5 linked regions of the Callithrix jacchus genome follow. The protein of the gene in region 2 interacts with the protein of the main gene of each other region in a pairwise test. Links are inferred from orthologs where the notes say so. Each region holds a gene or a part of one and is shown on either strand. Other genes may lie near its edges. The genes, in order: BYSL, DDX17, WBP11, SF1 and RBM15.

Region 1 (4,126 bases), on a different chromosome or scaffold from region 2:
TGGTCTGCGGCCAAGTCGGCCTTGTAGCGCTGGACCAAAGTCAGGAGGCACTGGTGCCAGAGCACAGGCAGTTCACGCTTCTCTGTCCGGAACCCCAGGAAGTGGAAGACTAGGGCATCCAGCACCCGGTAAGGCAGTGCATACTTCTTATCTAGCAGCAGTCGCAGGAAGATGCTGTTGGCACCGCTGTATTCCATCTCAGCAATTTTCAGCATGGCCGCACTGATGGGAAAAGGGAGGTGGGGTGAAGTTGGCGGGGAAAGCATTGGAAGAAGGATCCTACTTCTCCTCTGTGCTTTCCCCCTTTTTTCTTCCCCTCTGCTGGCCCTTACACTATGGTATTCCCTAGGGGCCTTCTCACCTACCCAATTGTATTATACTCCCTTGACTCCAGTCACCATCTCTACAAGCATCCACCCAAATCTCTACCTCTAGCACAGACTGCTTGTTTCAGTACCCAACTAGAGTATGGTCCAAACATCTAAACATCTCTACCCTAACTACTTTCTTCCTGTGCTTCCTACTTATTTGTTCATCTATTTACTGAGCACTTATTTATTTATGAGACAGATATATTTACTTATTTATGAGATGAAGTCTCACCCTGTCACTCAGGCTGGAGTAAAATGGTGCAATCTTGGCTCACTGCAACCTCTGCCTCCTGGGTTCAAATGATTCTCCTGCCTCAGCTTCCAGAGTAGCTGGGATTATAGGTGTGTGCCACCAAGCCCAGCTACTTTTTGTATTTTTAGTAGAGATGGGGTTTCACTATGTTGGCCAGGCTGGTCTCGAACTCCTGACCTTGTGATCAACCGGCCTCAGCCTCCCAAAGTGCTAGGATTACAGGCGTGAGCCACTGAGCCCAGCCTCAGCACTTTATACCAGGTACTTAGGCCCTGTTGTTGCAGAACTTACATTTAGGGGGATAATGATATAAACCCAAGGCTATCCTTAGCTCCTTCTCCACTCTGCGCATCCCCAAGTCCTGGCAATTCCACTACCTGGATATCCACTGACCAGCCCTCCTCCACCCCCGACAATGCTACCTGGAGTGCAACACAGGGATGGAGCACTTGGTGATGATGCTACCCACAATGATGGCTTCCCGAAGGGTACAAGTGCCAGACTCGCACAGTGGAATCAGGATCCCTGAGGAGAGTCAAAGGGCAGTCACTATGAGCCCAGGTTAAGAAAAAGGAGTTACAGGAAGCATTCCCACCCAGCCCAGGGGCAGCCAGCCAGCCATTTCCCACACCAGGCCTGCTGTGTTCCCTGTAGGAGCTCCAGCCCTTCCCTTTCTTCCCTGCCTTGGGGATCCCACCTTTGAACCAGGCTCCAGGTTTGAAAAGGGCCTTCTTGAGAGCCATGTAGAGATGGAAGTTGAGTCGTTTGTATTCAGCAATGTCATCTCGTATTCGTGGGAGCAGGACAAGATTGTAAAAGCGCTGGGCCATGCGTTCCTTCAGGTTAGAGGCAAAAATCCTAGTGGGAGTTAAGTGGGGAGTTTCCAAGTCACACGACAGTCTGGACCCAGCCCATTAAATATCATCATGGATAGTGCATACAAAAGGTTTTAAAGTAAAATAAGAGATCTTTTTCTCAGTGAGGGATATGTGGGAGCTGTGTGCATACAACACCCATCAACTTAGAGAGAGAACAGGAGGGGCAACGAGATGTACCCAAATGGGGAGTGCTGTTTGTCTGGGGGAGAGCCAGAGCTCATGCAAACTGATGGCTACTCAGCTACTCTCCTTCCTCTTGCTGTCACAGCTCCTCTCAACCCTGCTATCACGAGGGCCCTGAGCATGCCTGGGTAGTCATAGACTTCTGAGGCCCCGCTATGGGGTTGTATCCCAGTGGCTGTAAAAGCCTCTTCCCTAGAAATCCATCATGGAGGGTTTCTAGCTGGGTCTTGGCTACAAAACACGACAGAGGAAAAGCTAGGAAAATGATGCTATAAAGTAGCACAGAGAGGGCCATGGGGCAAAGCTCAAATGCCCTAGGGGTAGAGGCAAGGAGAGCCTGTCCATCCCAAGCCCAGCCTGTACCTATAGACCAAGGCCCCCGAACCCCCATCCACCCTACCTGGTGGCTTGGTACATGGCAGCTGCAGTCCAGGCCTCAGGCTCTGTGACATAGAGGATTTGCTCCCAGTTGGAGAGTGCAGGGATGATCTTAAATGCCTTGGGCAGTTTCCCACAGCGATACTTAGATAATACCTAGGGATGAGGGAGGTAAAATAATCATCGTCATCCACATATGGCGAGCTTGCTGTGGGTTAGGAACTTGTCTGGGTGCTTTTAATATATTAACTCATTTCATGCTCACAATAACTGTATAAGGAGGGGCCATTATTTTGCTCATTATACAGATGACCAGAGAAAAGTTCCAGTAACTGATCCAAGGTTGCCAAGTCATTTATAGGCAGAGCAGGAATCTGAACCCACACACTCTGCTTCTTAGGTCTGTTTTCTGCTCCCATGACTTCTTTAGTATGAGATGTGGGCAAAAGGCAAAAAAGTCCCCGAATGGGTCTTCAACCATGGCTCCTCTCTCAGCTCTTACCTCCCGGACCCCCCTGTAGACCTCCAGGACCCGGGGGTCCAGCTGGGGCATAGGGAAGCCCGACACCTCTGACATGACTGTCTCAACCTCTGTCTGCTTCTCAGTCAGCTTCTCCATGATGATGTCAGCCAGGGTGCGCCTAAGAGGGGAGGTGTCAAGGGGAGGGGAGAGAGGAGGGAAGGAGTGCTGTGGTCACTGTCCAGGAAGCTCCAGACTCCCCACAGTCCTTGTGTGCACTGACATACTGCAATCCTGCTGGGTGATATGCAACTTCAGTTCCCTCTCTGTGCCCATCCATCCACCACAGAATCGCTGCAGCGTGCAAAGGAACTGAACGTCATTCCATTTAGGACAAAGCTGGCAGTTGTATGGAGGTTATTATGAACCTGAACTCTGAAGTTGGTCTGCCCAGGTTCAAATCCTGGCTTGCCTACTCCCTGTATGATCTTGGGCATGTTACTTTACCTTTCTATGCCTCTGTTTTCCTCATTCGTTAAACAGGAATAATAATGGTACCCACTTTATAATACACTTCAGAGGCTGTTGAAGTGTATTTATTTATTTATTTTTTTGAGACAGGGTCTAGCTCTGTTGCCCAGGCTGGCGTGCAGTGGCACCATCACGGCTCCCTGCAGCCTCCATCTCTCTGGCTCAAGCGATCTTCCGATCTCAGTCTCCCCACTAGCTGGGACCACAGGCACATAGCACAACACCCAGCTAATTTTTTATTCTTTTGTAGAGATGGGGTCTTTTCATGTTGCCCAGGCTGGTCTCACACTCCTGGGCTCCTGCCTTGGCTTCCCAAAGTGCTGAGATTACAGGTGTGGGCCACCATGCCCAGCCTGAAATGTACTTAAAGCTGCTCCTGAGTTGGGTGCAGTGACTCACACCTGTAATCCCAAAAATGGGAGGCTGAGGGAGGTCAGGAGTTCAAGACCAGCCTGGTTAACATGGTGAAATCCTGTCTCTATTAAAAATACAAAAATTAGCCGGGCGTGGTGGTGCATGCCAGTAATCTTGAGAAGTTGAGGTTGCAGCGAGCAGAGATCACACCACTGACCTCCAGCCTGGGTGGCTGACAGAGTGAGACTGTCACAAAACAAAACAAAAAAACAAACTGCTCCTCTTTTCTGAGGTCCTACTCAGTGCCAGGCACTGAGTTTGGGACTTTTCAGTCCTAAAGTCAGTGCAACACTTATGGGACACGGAAACTTATGCAGACATGGGAACTGGGCCTCAGGTTAGTAACTCACCCAAGGCCTCATAGCTGTCAGGTGGGGAGTAACAGTCAAACTCAGGTTTTTGAAGTTCTTAAGGTACTTTATAGGACCTTATAATATGCCTTTAAACTAAATGGCCTCTTGACTGTTGAATCCACATGGATCTAGGTTTGCTTTCTGAAGATGCTAGCTATCATTTCCTGCGACTGCCTGGAGTTCTGTTTACTTCAGGGAGCTTGTCTATTCTATTTACTGCAAATTGGAGAAGCATTCTGCCAAGTTTGTCAGAGTTACCAGTGAAGTAGGAGTTATGAAGTGCTGAGTGAGAACCTGAGAGGCTC
Region 2 (4,126 bases):
CTAGTTGAACAATTATCCAACCCACAATTACAATGGCAAATGTTTACATAGTACTTTCATATATGTATCAATTTAACTTTGCAAGGCTCCTACTTACTTTGTAAGTTAATTAATGATGGAGGTGATTAAGAGTTCTTTTTTTTTTTTTCTGTTAAGGGCTTTTTTTTGTATTTTTAGTAGAGACAGGGTTTCACCATGTTGGCCAGGATGGACTTGATCTCCTGACCTCGTGATCTGCCTGCCTCAGCCTCCCAAAGTGCTGGGACTACAGGCGTGAGCCACTGCGCCCTGCCAAGAGTTCTATTTTCTATAGGAGAAAACAAATATTTAAGTAACTCGTCCAAGGTCAGAACTAGGAAGAGGAAGAAAAAGTGGAACCTGGACCCAAGTACTCTTTCTATTATACTTCCTTCTGAAAGAGTAACCATTTCATTTGTAAAGTCCAAAACAATGATAATGAGGCACAACAACAGACAAATTTTGGCTGGGCACAGTGGCTCTACTTAAAAAAAAAAAAAAAAAAAAAAAATAGTGGGGCATGGTGACATGTGCCTGTAATCCCAGCTACTCAGGAGGCTGAGGTGGGAAAATTGCTTAAATTTGGGACGTAGAGGTTGCAGTGAGCCAAGGTCACGCCACAACACTCTACCCTGGGGGACAGAGCAAGACCTCATTTCAAAAAAAAAAAAAAAAAAGACAACACCAATATATTTTTTTCACTGACAGTTGAAAAGACATGACCTAATATATAATAGTTTCAATCAGGTATAATAAATAGATTAGGAAGCATTATCAACAAATAACAAATTAAATGCATATTTAAACTGGCCCCCTTTTATGAGGATTACTGATCTTAGTTAAGAATATAAGAAAAATATCAGCTGGGTGTAGTGGCTCACACCTCTAATTCCAGTACTCTGGGAAGCCAAAGCGGGTAGATTGCTCAAGCTAGGGAGTTTGAAACTAGCCTGGGCAACGTGGCAAAACCCAGTCTCTGGGGGGGAGGGGAAGGGGAGGTGATTAAGAAAAAAAATTTTTTTAAAAATATCACCACACTAGAATAAAATGTAAAACAGCAACATTAGTGTATGAATAAACTCTAACCACTATGTCTACTGGTTCAATAATCTGTACATTAAAACACACACACACAAACTTACTGGAGTCAGCCTTGCTACTTCCGGATGTTCCACATAAAAATTTTTCTCAAACTTGGGGAGCTCGCTCAAATCCCACTTTTTTTTACGCAAACGCTCCCCAGGATTACCAAATTTCTTCGGGGGGAGGCCACCACCACCTCTTGCTCCAAATCTAGGAACATCAGAATTTTTAGTTCATCAGTATTTTTGAAGTAATATATCTTACACACCATAAAAAGATTCAAACAAGATAGACTACTACCAGCCTACCTCCAAAAGACCATGTTATTCACTCCTATTTAAAGGTATGGAGAAGTGTGTAAAACTTCCTTTACTACCCAACAAGAGTAACTGTTTATGAGTATGGCTATAATAGGTGAAAAATAAAAAATTCCTGTATACATACTAAGGATTACAATCACAGATTCTGGAACCAGACATGGTTTGAGTTTTGATTCTGCCACTTACTGTATAATTTAATTATTTAACTTCTACACACCTCAGTTTCCTATGCAAGTTAGAAATAATACCACCTATTTCAGAGGCTGCTGAGAAAAAGATCTAATAATGTGTAATGTGCTATAAAAGTAACTGGCATAACAAGCACTCAGTACAAGCAAGCATCATTCCAGTCAACAAATAGTTATTAGGTACCAACTATGTATCAGTTACTATTTGAAGTGGTGCCGTGCTGGAGTTACTAAAGTAAATAAAACAGAAACAAGTCTCTACTCTTGTGTAACAGAGAGGCAGGCAAAGGATGACATTAGTTTCAGTTTCAGTTAAAGGCAAGATTGTGGACAAGGAAGAAAATACACTCCAAGCATGTCCCTCAGTCTTCTTGGGCCCTTCCCCCTTTAAACTGTGACGAGCACTCCTCGTAGACCGGTCTTCATTTTTAGCTTATTCTAATAAAAGAGCTGAACAAGCCACGTTCAGTGGCTCACAATCCCAGCACTTTGGGAAGCCGAGGCAGACAGATCACTTGAGGTCAGGAGTTCTGATCAGCCTGGCCAACATGGAGAAACCCTGTCTCTACTAAACAGTGGTGGTGCACGCCTGTAATCCCAGTTACTTGGGAGGCTGAGGCCGGAGAACAGCTGGAACCAGGGTGGCAGAGGTTGCAGTAAGCTGAGACCACACCACTGCACTCCAGTCTGGGAGACAGAGGGTGACTCCATCTCCAAAAAAAAAAAAAGCTGAACATACATTTATGACCTCTCCTTCTTCGTCTCTTTTACCTTGTATCTCCTCCTTGTTCCCAAACGGTATTATTAATGGACAGAAAAGCCACTAACAAGACTTATTTAAGGTTTTAAAAGTCAACTAATTACTTGAGATCAACTTCCTGCTTTTTACATACCTTTCACAACAAACAAGCTCAAGGGGAATACAAATATGACCACTAGCCTAAGCTAAAATTTAACAAATCAGAAGCTACTTTTCCTAGAAATATCTTAACATGGCCTTCATCTTCCCTATTTCAATCTTGTGAAGTGCAGGGCTGTGTCTGGCACACGAACTGTACAGCATTTTTTTCACTGACAACTTCTTTACTCATTGTAATATACTGTACTTAATTTAGGTTCCTTTTCCCACTCTAACCCACTTGTACCATCATCTCCCCACCCCAAGACAGAGGCTCACTCCGTCACCCAGGCTGGAGTGCTGTGGCACAATCTCAGCTCACTGCAACCTCCGCCCCCCAGGGTTTAAGCAATTCTCCTGCCTCAGCCTCCAGATTAGCTGGGATTACAGGTGTGCACCACCACGCCCAGCTAGTTTTTGTTTGTTTTCTTTTTTTTAGTAGAGATGGGTTTTTACCATGTTCACCAGGCTGGTCTCAAAAACTCCTGACATCATGATCTGTCCACCTCGGCCTCCCAAAACCAAAGTGCTGGGATTACAGGCATGAGTCACCGTGCCTGGCCATAACATCATCTTATATAAAGTTTCACTTTATAACTGACAGGCAGCAGGTGTATTATTCTATAGGGCCTCAATTTCCTGCAATTCAAAGCATTAGAACTCTGGCTTAACCAGCTATATATTCCTCTAAACACAAATATAACAAAAATTGATGACAGGAAAATTTTATTGGGATCACTGGATACCTACATTCAACAGGTAGAACGTGGCTAATTCTTTATACCACTGCTGAGGCAGTAAGACAAATTAAGAATCAAAACAGGAAGAGCACATAGCATTGGCATACACATGTCAACAACATCTTTAATGTACTCCTCGGCTTAAGGCTCAATAGTGCAATAGTGAACAGACCAAAAGGCCACCTCAATTGCCACCCCCTACACTTGCAAATGAAGCAGCTAAATAAGGCACTTTTCAAGAAGTACCAAGTCCTTGGATTACCACTCTCGCAAATTATAAAATATTCCATTGTTACTGCTGCATTGCAATACCCAAACCTCAATAATCTACGAAAAAATAAAACTTTTGAAAGTGATGTTCCTGGTAACGCTTTAAACTAATCATAACCTCATTACCATTTATGTATTTTTTCCTCTCTCCATATTTCTCTGGCTATTTAAGATATACTACCCTACACTATATATCTAATTTGAAACATGGAGTTCTTGGAAAATATGCTGTCTTCCATGTTTATAATTAATGCTGACATAATTAATGACCTCAAAATTGAAGAAAATCTTTTACTTTTGAGCATATCCATATCTTTAAATATACACATCGTACTCTGGTATAGTATGCTCCTGAAATGTTTTTATCCAGTCAGCAATTAACAGCTTAACTTGACTTTGCAAAAAAATTCAGCTTTGAAGATTCATGTTAACATTAAAAATACTACCTCAAATGTACAGTGCCTATCATTTTTGCATCGCACATGTAAAACACATGAACTGACCTCACCCATTCCCTTTTCAAAGTAACCACCACTTCAACTGTGTAACATTCAGTTAAGAGTAGAACAGCAATTCAAATCAAGAACATGTCTTGGGAAAGGGAGAGCT
Region 3 (4,126 bases), on a different chromosome or scaffold from region 2:
TGAAAGATAAGCGTAAAAAGCTGCGTGAAACCTTTGAACGTATTCTGCGACTCTATGAAAAAGAGAATCCAGATATTTACAAAGAATTGAGAAAGCTAGAAGTAGAGTATGAGCAGAAGAGGGCTCAACTTAGCCAATATTTTGATGCTGTCAAGGTAATCAAGGTGTTTTTTTTTTTTTGAGAGATAAACTAAAATATTATACAGATTGAGTATCCCTTATGCAAAATGCTTGAGACCAGAAGTGTTTTGGATTTAGGGGTTTTTCTTAGGGAGGGAGGGGGATTATTTGCATATATTTTGGGGACTGGACCTGAGTCTAAACATGAAATTTATATTTCATATACACATAGTCTGAAGATAATTTTGTGTATGAAACAAAACTGCGGCCCATCATATTACATCAGGTGTGGATTTTTCCACCATGCATCATATGGGAGTCAAAATGTTTAGGATTTTGGAGCATTTTAAATTTTCCATTAGGGATGCTCAGTTGTACTTAGATTTAAAAAGTTAATGGGAGAATGGATCATGCTGAACCTCTTCCTCATAGCAATTTCTTCTAAAACTAAACATGTCTACCCTATGAACCAGCAAATCTAATCCTCTGTATTTAAACAGGAGAAATTAATTCAAAACTAGGATCAGCCTAGTATTCACTAATAAGATAATGGATAATTAAAATGTAGTATATTTATACAATGGAATACTGTTCAGCAGTAAAAGGGATAATCTAATACTCAAAGCAACATGAAATATAACAAAAATTACCAATAAATCTCAACAAGCTAAGTTAATTTCATCGTTACAATTTCATTTCTAGAATACAACTAATCTGTGTACAATGTATGTACAACAATATATGTACAACTAATCTGTATTTCTAGGTACAACTAATCTATGCAGGAAAAAAAAATGTAGCAGTGGTTGCCTTGGGGGATATTAGAGGTGGATTGGGAAGGAGTATGAGGTATATGCATTTGTCAAAACTTGACTGAATTTGTACGTTTTGTAAATTTTACCTCAAAGAAGGGAAAAAATCAAATGCTGTTATTTCTGTAAAGGAGGTAATATGCCCCTCATTTTACAGATAAGGGCACAAGTTAACTTGCTTAGGTAGGCTAAGCTAATACACAACAGAAATTCAACATAGGCAAGCTCATGGGCCCAACCTGCGCCACTGGATATATACATTTGTTAGTTGACATGTATTATTTTTCTATCACCCTGCATATTAAATAGGGTAACTTTGGTGTTAGGTACTTTTAACAGTTGGATTTCTCTAAACAACAGCTATTTCGAATCATATACAAAAAGACTTACCTGATAGTAAGAGGAGAAAAAACAGCTGTGTTTTGGTGTTTTCAGTAATAAAGATTTCTTTCAATTCTTTGACAGTCTTTGGAAGTATTGACATGAGGCTATTTTTGTGGGAGTTTTTAGTGATATTTATGTTAGTTGGAAAGCATGTCTGAGTCATGAAACAGCTGACTTGTCATTTATAGCGTTTAGTTTATGGATGATTTTTTTATCGTAATACTGAAAGGTTCTCTCTGTTTCAGAATGCTCAGCATGTGGAAGTGGAGAGTATTCCTTTGCCAGATATGCCACATGCTCCTTCCAACATTTTGATCCAGGACATTCCACTTCCTGGTGCCCAGCCACCCTCCATCCTAAAGAAAACCTCAGCCTATGGGTAAGGAAGCAGTTCACAATCAGAGCTCATTTGGTAAAAGCACAAATTGACTGTCCACTACCAGAATTAATGCTGGGGTAAATAAAAGACAATGTGGATGTAAACAGTATGAAATTTGATTAAATGTAAAATAAGAAATCCCTTGAAAATTGTTTAGAAGAGAAAAATATCTCATTATTATTAAGTGATTACTGTGGGGTTTTTTGGTTTTTTTTTGACAGACCTCCAACTCGGGCAGTTTCCATCCTTCCTCTTCTTGGACATGGTGTTCCACGTTTACCCCCTGGCAGAAAACCTCCTGGCCCTCCTCCTGGTCCACCTCCTCCTCAAGTCGTGCAGATGTATGGCCGTAAAGTTGGTTTTGCCCTCGATCTTCCCCCTCGTAGGCGAGATGAAGACATGTTATATAGTCCTGAACTTGGTGAGAAGTGACTGTTCTTTTGCTGTTATAATGACCATTTTTTATGTTGGCCCTGTTTAACATATTGTTCACCACTCTCAGAGCTTAGGAAGTAAATGAGAGGATGTCATGTAAATACTAATATACATACAGTCGGGTAAATTATAGGATCTACCCAAGTAACAGCATCATACATAAGTATACTGTGTTTTAAATTAAGCTCTTCTTAGAGATGTCACTCTATCTTTTAAGACTTGTATATCTTGTTCCCTTTTAGCTCGTTGTCATCAGACTACAGTGTTGTATACATTCACTGACTCTATGTGTATATAAACATGATTGTTGCCAAAGGAAATGAGTTCTCAAATTAGAACCTCTTTTTAAAAAAATCTTAAATTACCAAAAAGTAGTGTTTAAAATTATTGGCAAATGAAAATATTGTTAGACTGTATGAATAGCTATGTACAGGAATTTTTTTTTTGTAAGAATTGTTACAGTCTTGAGTTAAAATAGCATAATTTTCAGTATTTCTGGGTACCATGTTTTAGAGGATCCAGTAATGTTACTTCTCCATGTTCCCTTCCCACTTTTCAGCCCAGCGAGGTCATGATGATGATATTTCTAGCACCAGTGAAGATGATGGCTATCCTGAGGACATGGATCAAGATAAGCATGATGACAGTACTGATGACAGTGACACTGACAAATCAGATGGAGAAAGTGAGGGGGATGAATTTGTGCACCGTGATGACGGGGAGAGAGACAACAATGAAGAAAAGAAGTCAGGTATGTGCAGAGGAAGGATTACAAATTGATCGATAAAGAGGAAACAAGCCGAAGGTCCTAATTTATTAGCCAATCTGTGAAAGTCCTGTGAAGTCTTTGGAAGTAGGGGTCATAGCTGTATTCATCTTTGTGTATTAAAATTTTGAAAGTTTTTGACACAGTAAGTACTCAGTGGATATTTATGAGGAAAAACATTAAACAGTGTAATAAAAATGTCTGTGATAAAGTTCACTTTAGGGTAAAAGGTATAAGAACTATTCACTAGCATAAGCATATGTTATGGTATGTTATAGGAAAGAAAGGAGAATAGCCCCACCTTTGAAGCCCTTTTATGGTATCTTATATCTTATGAACCAGGATCAGAATTTAAACCCAGGTACACTCATGAGTGGAATCATGAAACATATTGTGTCTATAATGTGTATGTTTTGATTATTACAAAATTCAAATTGAGTTACATGTACTCTTTAAAAGAAGCTATGATATTTGTCAAGAACATTTTAATCTTTGTAATAGGTACTGGCAGTGCAAAATGCACACTAATTCTGCAAACCTCAGCAGTTTGGGAGCTTCTTTTGGGATTATTTTTGTAGCCTACAACAGAATACTTATATAATACTATGCAATACTAACATTAATATTGATGACAAATTTTCCCCTGCTGTGTCTTAAGAATCATGGTTGCCAACAAAAAAAGCTAGTTAAAAAGACTAGATAGAGCTGGTAATGTATAGAGAACCGTTAGGTAGGAACCAGAACTAGAAAGTAGAAAGCCATTAGAGCCACAGCAGCTCCATTTTTTTCTGTGACTATGTGGTCTCTTGCCTTCTTTTCCTTTTATTCTGCCAAGAGATTTTTCTTTTTCTTTTTTTTTTTTTTAAGACAGTCTCACACTTGTTGCTCAGTTTGGAGTGCAGTGGCGCAATCTCAGCTCACTGCAATCTCCACCTCCTGGGTTCAAGCGATTCTCCCAAGTAGCCTCAGTCTCCCAAGTAGCTGGGATTACAGGTGCCTGCCACCACACCTAGCTCATTTTTGTATTTGTAGAAGAGATGGGGTTTTACCATGTTGGCCAGGCTGTTCTCAAACTCCTGACCACAGGTCATCCACCTGCCTCGGCCTCCCAAAGTGCTGGAAGTACAGGCGTGAGCTACCACACCCAACCAGATTTTTTTTATATATACTCATCAAGACACATGTTATGAAAATGGCTGTCTTAACTCTGACTTGATATTCACTCAGCTC
Region 4 (3,922 bases), on a different chromosome or scaffold from region 2:
ACGCCAGGCGGATGGGAAACCCGGAACCTGGAGATGAACCTGCCCTTGACCACTGTACAAGACTCCCTTGACAAGGGTGGCAGAGATTTAAAAGCCCCACACTTTAAACCAACATCTTTGTGGGTGGTTATGGCACCGTGAAAAACTTACGAACCAAAGAACCCCACAACCAGCTTGGCATGAATGGCCGAAGCCCATGCCCAAAACCATTTGCTCCCCTCTCCTTGGTAAGGGAAGAACTGGAGAGAAGGGAAAAGAATCTAATTGTAGCAGAAGACCGGGGAGAGCATCTCCTTGGACGGAGTCTGAAGAAAGGAAGAGATAAGGAAGTAACAAAGGAAAAAGAAAAAAATTAATAAAAATTTCACGATATGGAGCCAGCGTGTTCCGATTCCGTCCACAAAAATAACTCAGGCTGCTTTGCCGAACCATCCTGTCCACCAGGGGCGTTGCTGAGGCTGTCTGCCTGGAAGGGTCACCAATGGGCGCGGAAAGTCCTCACTCTCATGGCTCGGGCCATCGCCGCCGCGGGGAGGGATCCTGGCGGCCCGGTTTGGGGAGAGGCAAAGGGAGTTGGGTGAGGAGAGAAAGAAGACAAAGAAGACACTCGATGCTACGGGGCGCCAGAAGAGCCCAAGCTGGCGCCCCTACTACCACTGCCCATTCCCAAGCGAATCCTCAGTCGCTTGGCCCAGCCCCGTGCGTGCACACACACACATGCGTGCACACACAATCACATGCGTGCGTCCCAATGTCTGGCTCCATATGGTGAGGTTCGGCGTGTTTAAACGAGACCAATTCTCTCTATATATAATATATATTTTCTTAAAAAACAAGTCTAGTTCTGTGGTGGAGGCGGTGGGGGAGCTGGAGGCATCCCGAAGGGCGGCATGCCCGCCACCCCCATGCCCATCATGGTGACAAAGTTAGAAGGGTCCATGGGAGGCGGAGGAGGAGGGGGCGGGGCATACATCATGCCGGTGGAACCAGGCGGTGGAGGCGGCGGAGGGGGAGGGGCCCCAGGCGGCAGAGGCGGCTGGACCCCGGGGGGCAGGGGCACCATAGTGGGGTTGCCTTGCATCTGAGGGGCTCCTGGAGAAGCTGCGGCAGCCGCCTGCTGCTGTTGCCATGGCGGGATGGACCCTGTGCCAGCGCTCGTGGTGGTAGTCGTCGTATCTGGGGTGGTAAAGAAGCCCAAGGTCACACGCGCGGGGGCACACCGCGGCTGTCTGCGGCTGCTGCCTTGGGATGGGGGCGAGGGGCGCCTGCTCCTTGCTTGGCATGCGGTACGGTGGTGGGGGGCGGGCGGGCGGGGCTGGTGATGGGAGTGGAGGGGTGGGCAGGACTACCCTGGGGTCAGCCTCGAGGTCTCTGGGCTTAACAGAGTAAGCCCTTTGTCACCAATGCCCCTAGAAGGGCTGAGGGGAAGGTACCAGACACAAAAACAGCTCTGACGTCCCTCCGCCCAGCCGCCGCCACCACCGAACGGCACATTCAACCTCAAGGCCACAGCTGCTCTCTCCCCACTGCCCGGTCCCACCTCTGCAGTCTCTCACCCCAATCACAGCCCTCGCCAGAGCAAGCATGCACCATCCCACTCGGGCCATATGCACCAGGCTCGGTCCAGCCAGCCGCTCACTCAGCCCGTGAGGACGGGACTTCTGTCCCCCTACCTACAACAGCAGGCTCCCCTCCAGGTCCCCACGAACCTCTCCCCAGACACAACCACACCAAACATCAGCTCTCCTCTCCAAGATGCCCCTCTACCCCCCGGACCAGGAGGCCCTTTCTGTTTACAACCCCAGCAGAGCTCAGGGGCTCATCCCAAGGCACCTGCCTGCTTGTGTGAGGTGTGAGGCTCTACGGTTCCTCTCAGGCCCACCCCCATCCCACCCACGCCCACAAGCCCAAAATATTCTACTCACTTTGCTGCCATGGCAAGGGGGTACTGGAAGCCATACTGCTGCTGGGCGGAGGGGGTGGCGGAGGCTGCTGCTGCTGCTGTTGCCATGGGGGAAGAGGACCAGAGGGAGGGGGCGGGGGCTGCCCACTGGGAGGCGGAGGCGGCGGCGGCATCATGCCCATAGGCGGTGGCGGCATCATACCTGCAGGTAGGTGTAGGCAAAGATGAGGCTTTAGGGAAAGGGGGGGATTTGGGCCACAGTCCCCACGTGCCCAAACCTAGGTGAAGACCCACAGCCAGCAGACAGCCATTACCTTTTCCTTGATGCAGGCGATAGACCCCAGAGCCCACAGGCGTACTTCCCAGGTACTGATCTTGATGGAAGGAAAGAGCAGGGACTTAGCAGGACATTGGAATTGGCCAGGGAAGCCACCCCTGTGATAACTTGAGTTGCTATCCTTACAGGAGTTCTGAAAACCATGCCTGTAAAAGGCAGTGTCTGTGCCTAGCTGACACAGAATCACTCCCTGTACCAGAATGAAGTCTCGCTCCTTCCAGAGCCATAACCCTGGCAAGTCAGGCAGACCCGGCACACTGCCGAGCCACTTGAGAGCTGCTTCTAGCTCAGTGACCTGACGCAACCCCCTGCTTATCCCAAAGCCCCAAGGTTTCTGGTCTGACACTTACTTACCCATTGGAGGAGGGCCATGGTGCCCAGGTGGGTGGGGGCCCTGGTTCATCGGAGGTGGTGGTGGCTGCATCCAAGGGGGTGGGGGTCCATTGGGGTTGTGCTGCATGGGATGTCCACCATGCCCACCTGTCAGGCTGGGTAACGGGTGTGGGAAGCTGTGGGGGCCGCCTCCGGGCCCACCAGGACCACCTCCGTGCATGCCATGGTAAGGCCGACTCTCTGAAGGGCCAGAATTCATCCAGGGTGGGCGACTCTGAGTGGTGGACATGAGAGACTACGTGAGAGCATTTCCAGCCAACGTCCCTGCCTGCGCCCCCTGGTGGCAACATTGTTCTTCCGTTCATGCCACAGGACTAGAACACAAGAACGAGGTCTTCCCAAAGTGAGAAAAGTCCCCAATTGGCTTGAGATCCCAGAAGAACAATGTTGCCATCCATATCCATCGATCTGCTCTACCCAAAGCACATGGCCATAGCTCCCAGTCTCTGCAGAAGAGAATGGGGAAGCCAGACCAAGAGAACCTGCCCCCAGGCTCACCGGCGGAGGTGGGTTGTTGGCGGGAGCAGCAGGACGAGGTGCACTGGCCAGGGGTGTGGTGGCAGGCCCAGAGGTGGAGCCCACAGATGCTGGGACGGGCGCTTCACCCAGTTCAGCCATGAGGGACAAATATTCTTTATCCATCCGTGCTTTATCCTGAGCTGACTGGGGATCACCAGGCCTGAGGTGGGGTGGGAGACAGAGAGAAAGTGGAAAAACTCATTACGGAAGCTTTTACCCTGAGAAACCAACATACAGAAAGTGTTGAAGGATTCAATCATCAGATCATTACATCTTTCTAACCCCTTACTGAACATGGCTCTCAACAGTCTCTCAACAATCTTCAGTGTCGTGCCCAGTTCTGCATCTGAGATCGCCAGAGCAGAGGCCCTGGGCGAAGAGCACAGACGACCCTAAGCATCACTGAAGCACAGGTTCTCTCAACTCAATTCCATCAAACTTCATTCCCAGTTTGAGAAAAGAAAATCTATGTAAGACTGGCCCAACTGCCCGAACGACCTTCCTGAACAAAAGCTTACATATTTGCCAGAATAAAAAGGTGCTGGTATCCAGTGCCAACTTGCAACTGGTCAGAAAGAATTTTTCTTTTTTTTTTTTTTTAGAGGGAGGGAGAAAAGGTAGAGGCGACGGAGATGGAAAAACCATCTCCGTCGTCTCTACCCCCAAGAAACAAGTCTTCTCGAACCAATTCTGAATAGCAAAAGCAGGGAACTTCCTCTTGAGCCCCAGTGAAAACATTTATACTCAAAATGGAAGCTTCCAGTTTTCTT
Region 5 (4,920 bases), on a different chromosome or scaffold from region 2:
AAATTTAAACCCAGGTAAAGCTTTTTTCTTTTATATCGTGCTTTTACAAAGAATGTGTTCATGTTTTTTTTCCCCTCTACCAGCATCCAGATTTTTATCTTTAAATATCATTTCCCACTAAAAGGAATCAGAGCTCTCCGGAGAAATGGCTGATTCCACAACTGGGGCAGGAAATGTATCAGTAAGTCTGGGAGAAAACAATAGAGAAAGGAAGAGTGGGAAGTGTGATGCAGATGAAACAAGACTGACATGATTTGACAACTGTTGAAATAGGGTGTTGGGTATATGGAATTCTTTATAGTATTCTTTATTTTAAACTTTTTCCATAAAAATAATTTAAGGAAAATTAAAAATAATTATTTTTTAAACTGAAGGAGTAATAGCGTGCTTTTTGTATAAAACAAAAGATTTCTACAAAGAAAAGTGAAGTCTCCTTCCTATTCCAGACCGTCACACCCAGCCTCAGGGCGATCCTAGTAACACTTTCCCATATATTTGTCACGGAAGTTTCCAAGCAATGATATTTTTAAAATGTACATACTCACAAATGTAATTTTTAAAACCACAAATGATAGCATGTTATACACATTATTTTATGGCTTGTGGTTTTATTTTCTATTTTAATACAATGAATATGTTTATACATTACAATATCGTAGACTTTCTTGCTTTACCATTGAGCTTCTTCCTTCAAATTTCTTTGATCTAATAAAGGGATAAAAGGCCTGCCCCTTCACATTCCTCAGGATTACTTACCAAAAGGATGGCTCGGCCGCTAAATTTAGGTTACAGTTCCTTTTTTTTTTTTTTTTTTTTTTTGAGACGGAGTTTCGCTCTTGTTACCCAGGCTGGAGTGTGCAATGGCGCGATCTCGGCTCACCGCAACCTCCGCCTCCTGGGTTCAGGCAATTCTCCTGCCTCAAGCCTCCTGAGTAGCTGGGATTACAGGCACGCGCCACCATGCCCAGCTAATTTTTTGTATTTTTAGTAGAGACGGGGTTTCACCACGTTGACCAGGATGGTCTCGGTATCTTGACCTCGTGATCCACCCGCCTCGGCCTCCCAAAGTGCTGGGATTACAGGCTTGAGCCACCGCGCCCGGCCCACAGTTCCTAATCTTAACACCGTTTTCAAGTTTAGGTTTCGGCTTTTGGGACATTATTGTTACCTTGAAAAATGTCATGTTTAAAAACACCTCACACCCTCTACCATAGATTAGATCTTGGGAAATAGGTTGAGGACGCGATCAATGTAAGAATCCTCATAACCTCCGCCCTGGCGGATACCTGGGAGGGCTGCAGACAGTCTAACGGCTGCGGTGACCTCAGCGCTGCGCCCCTCCAGCAGCCGGCGAGCGCTGGGGCGGAGGCCGTACCCCACTAAGCTCGGCATCTCCTGCACCTCCCACAGGTGCTCTGTCCGCCACAGTAATGCTCTACGGAAAAGAGAGTTGTAAAGCGGACGGTTGGAGGAGCCAAACGAGGTGGATCTGGAGCGGCCGCAAGGTGCCTGCGCTGCTGGCTTCTAATACAATAAGCGGAGTGTGGGGGATACCAGAAGTTACAGCGGGGAAACCAAGTTACATTATCTGCATGGAACCTAAATTTCGCTTGATGACTTTCCAGGGAGAAGCATTAGATGTTAAAAACAAACATAGGTATTTTACGGGACAACAGAATTAAAAAATCCACACAGATTCGCAAAATAAAACAGGCCGCCCAGAGACACGTCCACGCTGTCCCGACAGTTCCGGCTCCGCCTGCGGGCCAAGAGGCGGGGAGCGACGGTCACTCCCCTCTGCTACCCAGAGTACTTGGGAGGGGACGGGGAGCGCCCCGGAAAGCAGGGCCCCCAAGCGAGGAGTGCTTCTTCGCCGCGCAGCTTGAAGTTCTTGAAGTTCCTTGTGGCAGCACCGCCCCGGGGCAGCGGCGTGACCTGGGGCTGCAGGAACCTTGAACTCCTAGCTCAGCGGGCCCGGGTGACCGCGGGCGGGACTCTCCCGCGCGCGGGGGCGGGGCTCCCCCCGGCTTTTCACGCAGCGGCCACAGCGACCTAAGATGGTGTCCTCTAGGCGTCCCAAGACGGCTTCCTGAGGGACTGGAGGGCCCCGACAGCCGGAGAGCCTGCCACGCTCCTGGGCCGGCGCAGGTAGGATGGCGGGGAGCCTGAACGTTTCGAACTCCAACGGCCGAAGCACAGCTAAGTACCTCACGGAACTGAACAAATGTTTGTGGGAGGACGCCGAAAAGGCGGGGAGGCGGGGCTGGCTCACAGCCACCCTCTCGCGACATCTAAGTGACGTCGCACAGTAAGCACGTGTTCTAGTCTTTCACCTTCAGTCAGCCTCCTCCTTTATACGGGCCTACCCCTTTAAGCAAGTGATGGACAGTTATTTCAGCTTATCAACTTCCTTGCGGACATCCAATCAGATTTAAACTTCTTTTAGCCGCCGGAGGAGTTGGGAAAAGGGGGTCGAAAGAGGGAGCTCACCCTCTCTCGCGATATCGCTGTGAGGCTGCCTCTGGAAAAAACGCTGAAGCGGATGGCCCGACCTCCTAAATAGTGGTTTAAAGGACGGGTTTATAAGCCAATGAAAGGGATGAGGAGGTGGGGTTGCTGCTTTCACCGAGTAAGAAGTACCGTTACAGGGCAGACTTTTCGTCCAATGAAGACCTCCAGACTTTGGGTCACATGACCGTAGAGCGCTAGGGGCGGAGCTACAGCCTGGCGCGAGGAACCGTTAAGATAGACAACAAATATAACCAATGAGATGCTCTGACTAGGGCTTTGGAAACCCAATAACAGTGGTTGGGCGGGCGCCTTCCTGGAGCGCGGGGAGATGTAAAGATAGACAAATAATTTTTCCAATGAGACTGTAGAAGAGAGAGCCAATTGGCCAATGAGGACTGCGGGGCGGGATTCTGGGCCGCGGCGGAGTCCAAGATGGCGGCGTGCGGTTCCGCTGTGTGAAACGAGCGCGGGGTGGCGGGTTAATCACCTCAGCGGAGACGACCTCCGACGACCCGCAACAATGAAGGGGAAAGAGCGCTCGCCAGTCAAGGCCAAACGCTCCCGTGGTGGTGAGGACTCGACTTCCCGCGGGGAGCGGAGCAAGAAGTTAGGTGGCTCTGGTGGCAGCAACGGGAGCAGCAGCGGAAAGACAGATAGCGGCGGCGGGTCGCGGCGGAGTCTGCACCTAGACAAGTCCAGCAGCCGAGGTGGCAGCCGCGAGTATGACACCGGTGGGGGCAGCTCCAGTAGCCGCTTGCATAGTTATAGCTCCCCGAGCACCAAAAATTCCTCAGGCGGGGGCGAGTCGCGCAGCAGCTCCCGGGGTGGAGGCGGGGAGTCACGTTCCTCTGGGGCCGCCTCCTCAGCTCCCGGCAGTGGGGACGGCGGGGAATACAAGACTCTGAAGATAAGCGAGTTGGGGTCCCAGCTGAGTGACGAAGCGGTGGAGGACGGCCTGTTTCATGAGTTCAAACGCTTCGGTGATGTAAGTGTCAAAATCAGTCATCTGTCGGGTTCTGGCAGCGGGGATGAGCGGGTAGCCTTTGTGAACTTCCGGCGGCCGGAGGACGCGCGGGCGGCCAAGCATGCCAGAGGCCGCCTGGTGCTGTATGACCGGCCTCTGAAGATAGAAGCTGTGTATGTGAGCCGGCGCCGCAGCCGCTCCCCTTTAGACAAAGATACTTACCCTCCATCAGCCAGCGTGGTCGGGGCCTCTGTAGGTGGTCACCGGCACCCTCCTGGAGGGGGTGGAGGCCAGAGATCCCTTTCCCCTGGTGGCGCAGCTTTGGGATACAGAGACTACCGGCTGCAGCAGTTGGCTCTTGGCCGCTTGCCCCCTCCACCTCCGCCACCATTGCCTCGAGAGCTGGAGAGAGAGAGAGACTACCCCTTCTACGAGAGAGTGCGCCCAGCATACAGTCTTGAGCCAAGGGTGGGAGCTGGAGCAGGTGCTGCTCCTTTCAGAGAAGTGGATGAGATTTCACCCGAGGATGATCAGCGAGCCAACCGGACGCTTTTCTTGGGCAACCTAGACATCACTGTCACCGAGAGTGATTTAAGAAGGGCGTTTGATCGCTTTGGAGTCATCACGGAAGTAGATATCAAGAGGCCTTCTCGCGGCCAGACTAGTACTTATGGCTTTCTCAAATTTGAGAACCTAGATATGTCTCACCGGGCCAAATTAGCAATGTCTGGCAAAATTATAATTCGGAATCCTATCAAAATTGGTTATGGTAAAGCTACACCCACCACCCGCCTCTGGGTGGGAGGCCTGGGACCTTGGGTTCCTCTTGCTGCCCTGGCACGAGAGTTTGATCGATTTGGCACCATACGCACCATAGATTACCGAAAAGGTGATAGTTGGGCATATATCCAGTATGAAAGCCTGGATGCAGCACATGCTGCTTGGACCCATATGCGGGGCTTCCCACTTGGTGGCCCAGATCGACGCCTTAGAGTAGACTTTGCCGACACTGAGCATCGTTACCAGCAGCAATATCTGCAGCCTCTGCCCTTGACTCATTATGAGCTGGTGACAGATGCCTTTGGACATCGGGCACCTGACCCTTTGAGGGGTGCTCGGGATAGGACACCACCCTTACTGTACAGAGATCGTGATAGGGACCTTTATCCTGACTCTGATTGGGTGCCACCCCCACCCCCAGTCAGGGAACGCAGCACTCGGACTGCAGTTACTTCTGTGCCTGCTTATGAGCCACTGGATAGCCTGGATCGCAGGCGAGATGGTTGGTCCTTGGACCGGGACAGAGGTGATCGAGATCTGCCTAGCAGCAGAGACCAGCCTAGGAAGCGAAGGCTGCCTGAGGAGAGTGGAGGACGACATCTGGATAGGTCTCCTGAAAGTGACCGCCCACGAAAGCGTCACTGCGCTCCTTCTCCTGATCGCAG

The links.
Region 1: the proteins of DDX17 (region 2) and BYSL interact in binary tests that used the Homo sapiens proteins (3 or more experiments, as listed by UniProt). The two-hybrid records come from large-scale screens. The link is inferred for Callithrix jacchus from reciprocal best matches to the Homo sapiens genes DDX17 and BYSL.
Region 3: the proteins of DDX17 (region 2) and WBP11 interact in a two-hybrid assay, tested with the Homo sapiens proteins (3 studies listed by BioGRID and IntAct). The link is inferred for Callithrix jacchus from reciprocal best matches to the Homo sapiens genes DDX17 and WBP11.
Region 4: the proteins of DDX17 (region 2) and SF1 interact in binary tests that used the Homo sapiens proteins (3 or more experiments, as listed by UniProt). The link is inferred for Callithrix jacchus from reciprocal best matches to the Homo sapiens genes DDX17 and SF1.
Region 5: the proteins of DDX17 (region 2) and RBM15 interact in binary tests that used the Homo sapiens proteins (3 or more experiments, as listed by UniProt). The link is inferred for Callithrix jacchus from reciprocal best matches to the Homo sapiens genes DDX17 and RBM15.

Annotation. Positions count from the first base shown.
Region 1 is NC_133505.1:50,431,277-50,435,402, reverse strand, and holds part of BYSL (bystin), read right to left. Parts: intron 2,705-4,126; coding exon 2,566-2,704; intron 2,220-2,565; coding exon 2,086-2,219; intron 1,483-2,085; coding exon 1,322-1,482; intron 1,150-1,321; coding exon 1,047-1,149; intron 223-1,046; coding exon 1-222. UniProt on the Homo sapiens protein: Required for processing of 20S pre-rRNA precursor and biogenesis of 40S ribosomal subunits. May be required for trophinin-dependent regulation of cell adhesion during implantation of human embryos.
Region 2 is NC_133502.1:209,415,389-209,419,514, forward strand, and holds part of DDX17 (putative ATP-dependent RNA helicase DDX17), read right to left. Parts: intron 1,312-4,126; coding exon 1,161-1,311; intron 1-1,160. UniProt on the Homo sapiens protein: As an RNA helicase, unwinds RNA and alters RNA structures through ATP binding and hydrolysis.
Region 3 is NC_133510.1:8,532,879-8,537,004, forward strand, and holds part of WBP11 (WW domain-binding protein 11), read left to right. Parts: coding exon 1-155; intron 156-1,561; coding exon 1,562-1,695; intron 1,696-1,916; coding exon 1,917-2,116; intron 2,117-2,689; coding exon 2,690-2,881; intron 2,882-4,126. UniProt on the Homo sapiens protein: Activates pre-mRNA splicing. May inhibit PP1 phosphatase activity.
Region 4 is NC_133511.1:121,834,960-121,838,881, forward strand, and holds the end of SF1 (splicing factor 1), read right to left. Parts: intron 3,313-3,922; coding exon 3,132-3,312; intron 2,869-3,131; coding exon 2,595-2,868; coding exon of another isoform or gene 2,591-2,594; intron 2,278-2,590; coding exon 2,218-2,277; intron 2,106-2,217; coding exon 1,926-2,105; intron 1,177-1,925; coding exon 839-1,176; 3' UTR 799-838; downstream 1-798. UniProt on the Homo sapiens protein: Necessary for the ATP-dependent first step of spliceosome assembly. Binds to the intron branch point sequence (BPS) 5'-UACUAAC-3' of the pre-mRNA. May act as transcription repressor.
Region 5 is NC_133508.1:148,189,969-148,194,888, forward strand, and holds the start of RBM15 (RNA-binding protein 15), read left to right. Parts: upstream 1-1,806; 5' UTR 1,807-2,899; coding exon 2,900-4,920. UniProt on the Homo sapiens protein: RNA-binding protein that acts as a key regulator of N6-methyladenosine (m6A) methylation of RNAs, thereby regulating different processes, such as hematopoietic cell homeostasis, alternative splicing of mRNAs and X chromosome inactivation mediated by Xist RNA.